Linked DNA regions of Mus musculus. The protein of the gene in region 2 binds, or shares a complex with, the protein of the main gene of each other region. Links are inferred from orthologs where the notes say so. Each region holds a gene or a part of one and is shown on either strand. Other genes may lie near its edges.

Region 1 (5,011 bases), on a different chromosome or scaffold from region 2:
TAATTAGGATGGTTTAGAGATGTTTACCCCACCCCCACCCCCATAGACAGATACACATCTACATATGATTATTCCTTAATTTCACTAGTAAGAATCTTTTTCTTCCCTTTAAGACATAGTCTGTGATGGCTATTCTTGGTTGTCACTTTGACCACACCTGGATTAACTAAAACCCAAGTGGTTGGGTATGCCTGTGAGGGAGTTTCCCCTCAATTAATTATTTGAAATGGGAAGACCCACTTTTAATCAGGATCTTTTGAAATGGGAAGATCTGTCTTCAGCCTGGGCCACATCTTCTGCTGGCAGCCTATATAAAGAACACAGGAGGAACCTTGCTCTCTCTCCCTGCCTGCTTGCTCTCACTGGCAAGTCCATTCCTTTCCTGGCACTAGAGCTAGCTTCGTTGGGATTCTGGCAGACACTGAAGGCCAGGTGAGACATCCAGCTCCGAGGACTGAACAACTATTAGATTCTTGGACCTTCTGTTGGTAAACAGGATTGCTGGACAAGCTGGACTAGCCTGTAATCCATTCTAACAAAGTTCATAAATATATGTATTCATTCTATACATTCTGTTCCACTAGGGCAGTTGTTCTCAACCTTCCTAATGCTACAACCCTTTACTATAGTTCTTCATGATGCAGTGACCCCAACCATAACATTATTTTTGTTGCTACTTCATACCTGTTAACTTTACTACTCATAAGAGTTGTGACTTAAATGTGTGATATATAAACTATATTCAACCCCTGTGAAAGGGTCTTTTGACCCCCCAAAGGGGTCATGACCCATAAATTGAAGACCACTGCTATTGAGAACCCATGGTCTCTCTATTATCTGGCCCTAGCTGCACATGAACTCACTATGTAAACCAGGCTGGACTGGAACTCCCAAAGATCCACCTGCCTCTGCACCTCTCTGCCTCTGCGCCTCTCTGCCTCTCTGCCTCTGCCTCTCTGCCTCTGCCTCTCTGCCTCTGCCTCTCTGCCTCTGCCTCTGCCTCTCTGCCTCTGCCTCTCTGCCTCTGCCTCTCTGCCTCTGCCTCTGCCTCTCTCTCTGCCTCTCTGCCTCTGCCTCCCAAGTGCTAGGATTAAAAGCATGTACCACCATGCCCAACTGTTAGTAAAATTCTTTAGTAACTTCAACAAAACAATATTTAGTATGATTCATATTACATTAGGAATATTGTTTCTCTTCCTTCCATATAACTAGAAAATAGAAAATTATTCTGTGCAGCTAGCAACTTTCCTTCCGTTAGAGGGAGGAAAGGCCGGCAACAGCCTGGCCAGCTACTGCTCAGCTATGGAGCCTTGGTTGAGCTGATGGACATCCCAGTCTCACTGCACTTTAGCATGCTAGTTAGAAAACCAGGTATTATTCTCCTGGAACACTGAGAATTGTCTATGTTCCCTATTGTAAAAATACTAGTCCAAATTAAAATTTTACTACAGTCTTTCTCTTATTGTCCCCATATCTCTAAAGCCTGCAAACTGCATTTGAATCCCAGCACATTTGAAACAAGCAGGGCATAATCCTGCAAACACCCCAGCATTGAAGGGGGAAGACACAGGAAGACCTCTGGGGCCTGCTGGCTGCTCTCATAGCTCCCTCTCCTCCAAAGAAATTATAGTTTTAGGTTCAGAGAGAGACCCTGCCTCAAAAGTACAGCACAGGGGTAATAACACATATGCATACATCATACAAACATAGTTTTACACACACACACACACACATATATAGATACAAGGGAGACAGAAGCATAACATATCCAGGCAATTTCATACAAGGAAACAAGAAAGCTAGTGTCGTGGCACATCCCTACAATCGCAGACCTTTGGGAGGGAGAGACAGGAGCAGAAGGGCACACATGTATTACCCACAGTGGCTCTCAACACAAACTCTGAATACCCACCAATATCCTTGTTGTACTTAACTAAAACTATGAATGCTTCTCTTGGAAGTCTACAGTAAGCCTTTACCTTATTGTGTGAGATTCCAGCTGAACACTGGAAGCCAGTCTTACTCTCTATGGCTGCTCTCATTTCTTCCACAATCATGGCTCCCACAGTCAGCCTGAGGTCTGGAGAGGTGGGATCATCACTCTGAAGAGAATCAAGCCACTGAAGCAAGCCTTGTTTCCGAATAGCCTCTGAAAAGAGCAGAGGTCACATTTAGACGTTTGCTTGTTTTTGCTTTTTTGAAACAGGGTTTCTCTGTGTAGCTCTGGCTATTCTAGAACTCCCACTATAGACCAGGCTGGCCTCCAACTCAGAGATCCACCTGCCTCTGCCTCCCAAGTGTCGGAATTAAAGGTGTGCGCCACCACTGCCCAGCTAACATTTTTTTTTAATTATTTTTAGTCATGAATCACACAATATTTGCTCAAGGGCATACTATATAAATCATAGTATACGGATGGCATCAAACTTAACATGTAGTAGGCTGCATGATCTAGCTTTCTCTAAGTCTGCACTATAAAATCACCCAGTGACACATTTCCCAGAGCAAATCCCTTACATTAAGCAGCACATGGCTATAGTTACCATTCAATGCAAAAATGATTTGACTTTGGGCTGCACATGGTAGCACACACCTTTAATTCTAGCATTCTGGAGACAGAGGCAGGTGGATTTCTGTGAGTTTGAGGTCAGTCTGGTCTACAAAGAGAGACCAGGTCAGCCAGGGTTCTGATACACAGAGAAACTCTGTCTCAAAAAAACAAAAAGAGGTACTTAAGATATACAACTTCATTTCAAAATTGAATCTTATCCACGTGTGTGTCACTGTAGGCCATGTGTGTGGTCATGCTCTGGCTATCCTGGAACTCACTCTGTCCCAGACTAGCTGTGAACTCAGCAATCTGCCTGCCTTGGCCTCCAGAGTGCTAGGGTAAAAGGCGTGCAACTGCCAGTACCGTCAGGCTCCTTAAACTTCCTCTTGAACACTCTTCTTCACTAGGAAACCCTCAGAATTGCTGGGATGGCAGTGCAGACCTACAACCACAGCAGTCAGAAGGTAGAGGGAGTAGGATCCACTGCAAGTTCACGGCCAGCTTGGTCTGCCTATCAAGCCCTGTCTCAAAAACCAAAACCAAGCTGGGTGTGGTGGCACACTTTAATCCCAGCACTTGGGAGGCAGAGGCAGGCAGATTTTTGAGTTCAAGGCCAGCCTGGGCTACACAGAGAAACCCTGTCTCGAAAACCAAAAACAAAACAAAAAAAAAACAAAAACAAAACAAAAAAAACCAAGCCCAGAAAACATTCATGATTTACTCAAGCTTAAACTTCCACTTAAGTATTTACATTATTTTAGAGAATGATTCCATATAAGTAGTTTAAAATCCAACCAAAAATATCTTTACAACTCAGTTTAGAACTATTCATGATAGTGAATTCAATGATCATTCACAAATTCACAGTTGTGAAATAGAATAAAATGTGATTACACAGCAAAGGAAATACAGACATGTTGGTTTAAAGATGCAGTAATGAGATAGGTATAGGGCAGAATACCTGGGAGAAGAAAAAGTCCAAACACCATAGAGAAGATGGGTCAGACGAGCACGCAGAGGAAACCTTGCCACCCTTCAGTGACTACTGCATCCCTCCACAGCTGCCATGTCTGCTGCCAGCATCCTAACCATGGCAAGTGAGCAACACTTTCCCGCTCTGTATGTTCCCCTTGGTGACCATGACCTGATCCCGCTGAATACACGCACACCTCCCTCTCTGACCCTAAGCTCGGGTCTTTAGCGCCCATCCTCCCTGCCACCTCCTGACAGAGCAATTCCTTTATGCTTATGACTGTGCAAACATTCTAACTCAACATAACTAAAATCAAGCACAGCTTCTTTCTCAAAGGGTCCCTCTCCCAATGCCTTGTTTTTAATAAAAGCTTAGAATTTACCTAACATTAACTTTATTCTTTCATTTTCTACTGTGTAGTCAGCCAACAGAGCCCACTTCAAAACAGTTTCCTGTATCACTTCAACTCCCCTGCTTCACTTAAACTACCTTAACTCTTTGGGAGCACTGGCTGCTCTTCCAGAGGACCCTGGTTCCATTCCCAGCACGCACATGGCAGCTCACACCTGTCTATAACTCCAGTCCCAGAGCTTCTGACACACATGCAAGCAATACACCAATGAATATAAAATAAAAATAAATTTTAAAAATATATAACATTTTAGAGGTCAGGGGAAAACACATACATGGAGGTCAATAAAGAGTGTGCGGGAGTCGGGGCTTCGCTTTCACCGCGCAGGGATTGCGCTCAGGCCAGCAGGCAGTAAGTGCCTTTACTGGTGTGAGGGTTTGAATGAGAATGGCCCCAGAAGCTCATATATTTGAAAACATGGTCTCTAGTTAGTACAAGCTTTGGTGTTTAGGAACAATTAGGAGGTGTGTCCCTGGGGGTGTGATTTGCGGTCCAAAAGCCCATGCCCATGACATTTCTTGTTAGGTCTCTCTTCTTTGTGGCAGTTATCACGCATATAAGCTCTCAGCTACTTCTCCTGCACCATGACTGCCTGACTGGTTCCTTACTCCTCATGATAGTCATGGACTCACCCTCTGACACTATCAGCCCAATGATCTCTTTCTTTTGTAAGTTGCCTTAGTCATGGTACCTGCACAGCAATAGAAAGGACACCTACAGAGCAATATCACAGGCCCAACCTCCCCAGCCTCTTCCCACGTGGTTTGAAGGTGTACTAGAGGACAAGCACTTGCTGCTACACCGGAGGCCCTGTGTTTGTCTCCAGTGCAAAACACAATAGACACCTCACATCTATGGTAGCACAAGCCTGGTACCCTTGTGGTTCCAATAGCTAGGGAGCAGGTTAAAGGATCTGAGGACAGCCTAGGCAGCACAGAAAGGAGGCAGGGAAGCTTTCATTGGGATGTCAAACAAATTAATACAAAGAAAAGACCCTTCTCTAGAGAGGAAAAGTTAGGTTAGTCGACTCTGCTCCTAAGGCCTCCAGTTTAAAAGTCTGGTGCTGGAGAAATGC
Region 2 (3,701 bases):
AACTCACTGAGCCACAAGTTGTTTGAGGGACAACTCATAAGTAAGCTGTTGGTTTGCATTGTTCCAATGGATTCTTTATTCTAGAAACTGGATTGTTGGCAGCACCAACAATAACTGAGAATTTTGTATAGATGAATTCTTACTTTTCACTTTTGTTATTTTAGAAACCTTCTCTTTTATTTTGACTCTAGGTTGGTATTCAAGTGAATCAGTTGGTTCCTGCTAATTCAAATCTTTCCACATGTTCAAGTCGTCCATCAGCTCAGTCAAGCCTCTTCTCTGGTCGGCCACATTCTGTCCGTGATCTCTTCCAACTTCAGAAAGCCAAGAAACCCACAGAAGAGGAACACAAGGAAGGTGGGTGGCCCTCAGTGTGCGGCTGCTTTCTGCTCCACCAAGTCCTCGGGGAGTAAGAAGTTCCATTTTAAATCCACATGGGTCTGTGCCCTTTCATTGCTTTGTTTTAAAAGTAAAATTACATTCTAAATTGTGAATCTAGAACGATTTGTAAGGAAAAGAATGAAGTGATCGGGGTGGAGGGGCTTGGCGATTTCTCCCCCTTCCCATGAGCTAAAGAGGCTGTTTGATTTGTTTCCTACAACTGTAGTATTTCTGGCTGCTGTGGATCTGGAAGTGTCCTCCACCTCTAGAGCTTGTGGTTTATTGTCTCCGCTCTCTGCACATCTGGCAGCTAGTGTTAGTCCTGACACTAACAGTGGAGAGTGTTCCAGAAAATGGAATGGCCTGCACTCTCCTGTCAGTGGACAGTCACGGCTGAACCTCAGTATAGAGGTCCCATCACCATCCCAGGTATGGGTTTTGGTCCTTAAGTCAGTTTTGTACTAAGAACAAAGTGGTATTCTTCCCTTGTTGGTCAGCATACAAAGTCAACTTCATGTCTTACTGTTCTCACTTAAGCTGCTCCCACTTGTGCAGGTTCCCTTGTTTGCTAGTCTGCTTTGTGTCAGGTGTATCCCATCCTCTTTTTACATGAGTTCACATGGGGCGGGGCTAAAGAAAATGAAAATGCTGTCTCCAGATCTAAGGAAAAGAGGCAGTTCTCATGCTTGAGGGAGAAACCCTAATGCTTGTATAAATAAATACCTTTTTATCTTAATACTTTTAAGCCGGGCAGTGGTGGCGAACGCCTTTAATCCCAGCACTTGGGAGGCAGAGGCAGGCAGATTTCTGAGTTCCAGGATAACCAGGGGAACACAGAGAAACCCTGTCTCAAAAAACAAACAAACAAACAAAAACCTTTTAAGTATAGGATGATAATATTTTGGGGGGGGGGGGGATTCTCCCATCTGAAAAGGTATTTTCTGTTGTCCCTTTCCATGGGTGAGTTCTTACTGCAAGGTGTTGTGTGAGTCATATGTGGACTCCCTTGTATGTTACTGACTCCTACTCTGCACTCACCTTCAGACTCGGGCTTCGGTGCCCATCAAGATAGGGTAGGGACTAGCTTTTTGAAGGCCGAGGGTCTGAACTTTTACTGTTCCTGAAACTTTTATTTCTGAGCATCAAGTTCACATTTGGTATTTTACAGATTGACCAGTCTGTTTTAGAAGCGCTCCCACTTGATCTCCGGGAACAAATAGAACAAGTTTGTGCCGCTCAGCAGGGAGAGCCACGTGGAAAGAAGAAAGAACCAGTAAATGGCTGCAGTTCAGGGGTGTTGCCACATCCTGTTGGAACAGTTTTATTACAGATCCCAGAGCCTCAAGAACCTTGTAATAGTGACAGCAAGATTAGTGTAATTGCCCTTCCAGCATTCTCACAAGTACGTTGATGTCAGGGACCTTCAGTCATGCTTTTCTCACCTGTCCTCTCCTCTATCTAATTCCTGAGGAGCTTGCACTTCTGCAGACAGTGGTTGGCACCTCAGCACCAGAGGGAAGAGATGTGGGAGGCAGGTGTTGGTCCCTAAAGATTCTGGAAGACACTCTTTGTTGACTTTACTGGTTCACACAGATCATGAGACCTCCTGAATAGGGGAAGATGCCCAGAAGTGTCCATGTGTTTTTGGCTTCCCATTTTGTAACCGAGTGTCTTGTTCTGATTAGTTAGCACAGAAATTGGATTGCTCATATCCAGTGTCTTGGAAGGTTTTGTCCTAGCTTTGCTGTTTAAGGACCTGTTAAAGTGATTTGAAAACAGTCTAGCTGTCCTCCAGAATTAATTTAGGTGTGACTTTCCTTGTACTAGGTGGACCCTGATGTCTTTGCTGCCCTTCCTGCTGAGCTTCAAAAGGAGCTGAAAGCAGCATATGATCAAAGACAAAGGCAGGGAGAGGACACTACTCATCAGCAGCCAACCAGTACATCTGGTAAGAGGAGAGAACTGTCATGTCCCAAAAAGGGACTAGGGTGATGACATCATTGTGTTATAACTGTTCATCCTAGAGAGTGTCTGAAGTGATCAAGGCAGACGAGTAGCGAGTGCTGTAAGTCACTGCTGGTTGGTACTTGTGCTGGTCTTAGTATTTTTGGATACAAGTCAAGCTACTTGTCCTTTGAGACTGCTGTTTGAAAGAATGTGGGTTCAAAACATGAAATCTCAAAACATGAGTCCCTGAACACACATTTTATTAAACCTACGTAACTGCTAAATGAGAATACGAAGTTGTACAGCTGAGCTCGGAGGACTTTATGCCTTAAGCCACGGCGTGCCTGGCCTTCTTTCCTGCTCTTGGTTGTAAGGGGGGGTTGGAAGGACAAAGAGTCAATGGTATTATTACCTGATTGCATTTTGAGACTCTCATACCTCCTCTTTTAGTGCCAAAGAATCCTTTACTTCAGCTAAAGCCACCAGCAATGAAAGACAAGAGGAACAAGAGGAAGAACCTCATTGGTTCTCCCAGAAAGAGTCCTTTGAAAAATAAGCTGCTTAGCAGTCCTGCAAAAACTCTGCCAGGGGCATATGGAAGCCCCCAGAAGTTAATGGATGGTTTTCTACAACATGAAGGAATGGCTTCAGAGAGACCCCTGGTAACTGGAACAAAATACTGACTGTTACTAGATTTTAATGTACTTGACACTGTCTGAATACAGCATTCTCGTTCACTTCCTCAACAGGAAGAAGTCTCGGCTTCTACCCCTGGTGCACAGGACCTATCTAGTTTACTGCCAGGCCAGAGCAGCTGTTTTAGACCAGCAGCACCCAACCTAGCTGGAGCTGTGGAATTCAGTGATGTGAAGACCTTGCTCAAAGAGTGGATCACTACTATCTCAGGTTTGTGTGGTAGCTCTGTGATTCGAGAACAGGACCTGAGCACAATGGCTCGAGCCCCTTGTCTAACATTACAAGCTGTAAGGCGTGCTGGGTCCTCACCTGGGGTTTTCCTCCTCCCTAGATCCGATGGAAGAAGACATCCTGCAGGTTGTGAGATACTGCACTGACCTCATAGAGGAGAAAGACTTGGAAAAATTGGATCTGGTTATAAAATACATGAAAAGGTAATTTATTTAATTTTTTACTTAAAGAGGAAAAAAAAAAAGCATGTCCCAACAGTCAATTGAGGGCATATGGATAGAACAGGTTTTTAAGGTTCCTGGTTTTAAATGCCATATAATAATGTTGACAGGAATACTAAGTTAAAAATAATCACTCCCATGGTTATATGTCCAATACACAAGTGACCATGAAATGTTTCTGAGTGCCCTAATAGGCCTTTTAAACCAAGTTTATTTTCTTAACAC

Evidence for each region. Proteins that work in one complex are often made in the same cells at the same time.
Region 1: the proteins of Rev1 (region 2) and Polh are in contact, whole or in part, in an NMR structure (PDB 2LSK), measured with the Homo sapiens proteins. The link is inferred for Mus musculus from reciprocal best matches to the Homo sapiens genes REV1 and POLH. Residues at the interface, in NP_057400.1 of Homo sapiens: Asn1158, Leu1159, Ala1160, Gly1161, Leu1171, Leu1172, Trp1175, Ile1179, Asp1181, Pro1182, Met1183, Glu1185, Asp1186, Gln1189, Val1190; in NP_006493.1 of Homo sapiens: Thr528, Glu529, Pro530, Phe531, Phe532, Lys533, Lys535, Ser536, Leu539.

Annotation. Positions count from the first base shown.
Region 1 is NC_000083.6:46,188,628-46,193,638, forward strand, and holds part of Polh (DNA polymerase eta), read right to left. Parts: intron 2,150-5,011; coding exon 1,980-2,149; intron 1-1,979. UniProt on the Homo sapiens protein: DNA polymerase specifically involved in the DNA repair by translesion synthesis (TLS). Due to low processivity on both damaged and normal DNA, cooperates with the heterotetrameric (REV3L, REV7, POLD2 and POLD3) POLZ complex for complete bypass of DNA lesions.
Region 2 is NC_000067.6:38,053,373-38,057,073, reverse strand, and holds part of Rev1 (DNA repair protein REV1), read left to right. Parts: intron 1-191; coding exon 192-357; intron 358-607; coding exon 608-810; intron 811-1,494; exon of another isoform or gene 1,495-1,549; coding exon 1,550-1,783; exon of another isoform or gene 1,784-2,208; coding exon 2,209-2,329; exon of another isoform or gene 2,330-2,778; coding exon 2,779-2,990; exon of another isoform or gene 2,991-3,077; coding exon 3,078-3,234; exon of another isoform or gene 3,235-3,355; coding exon 3,356-3,458; exon of another isoform or gene 3,459-3,701. UniProt on the Homo sapiens protein: Deoxycytidyl transferase involved in DNA repair. Transfers a dCMP residue from dCTP to the 3'-end of a DNA primer in a template-dependent reaction.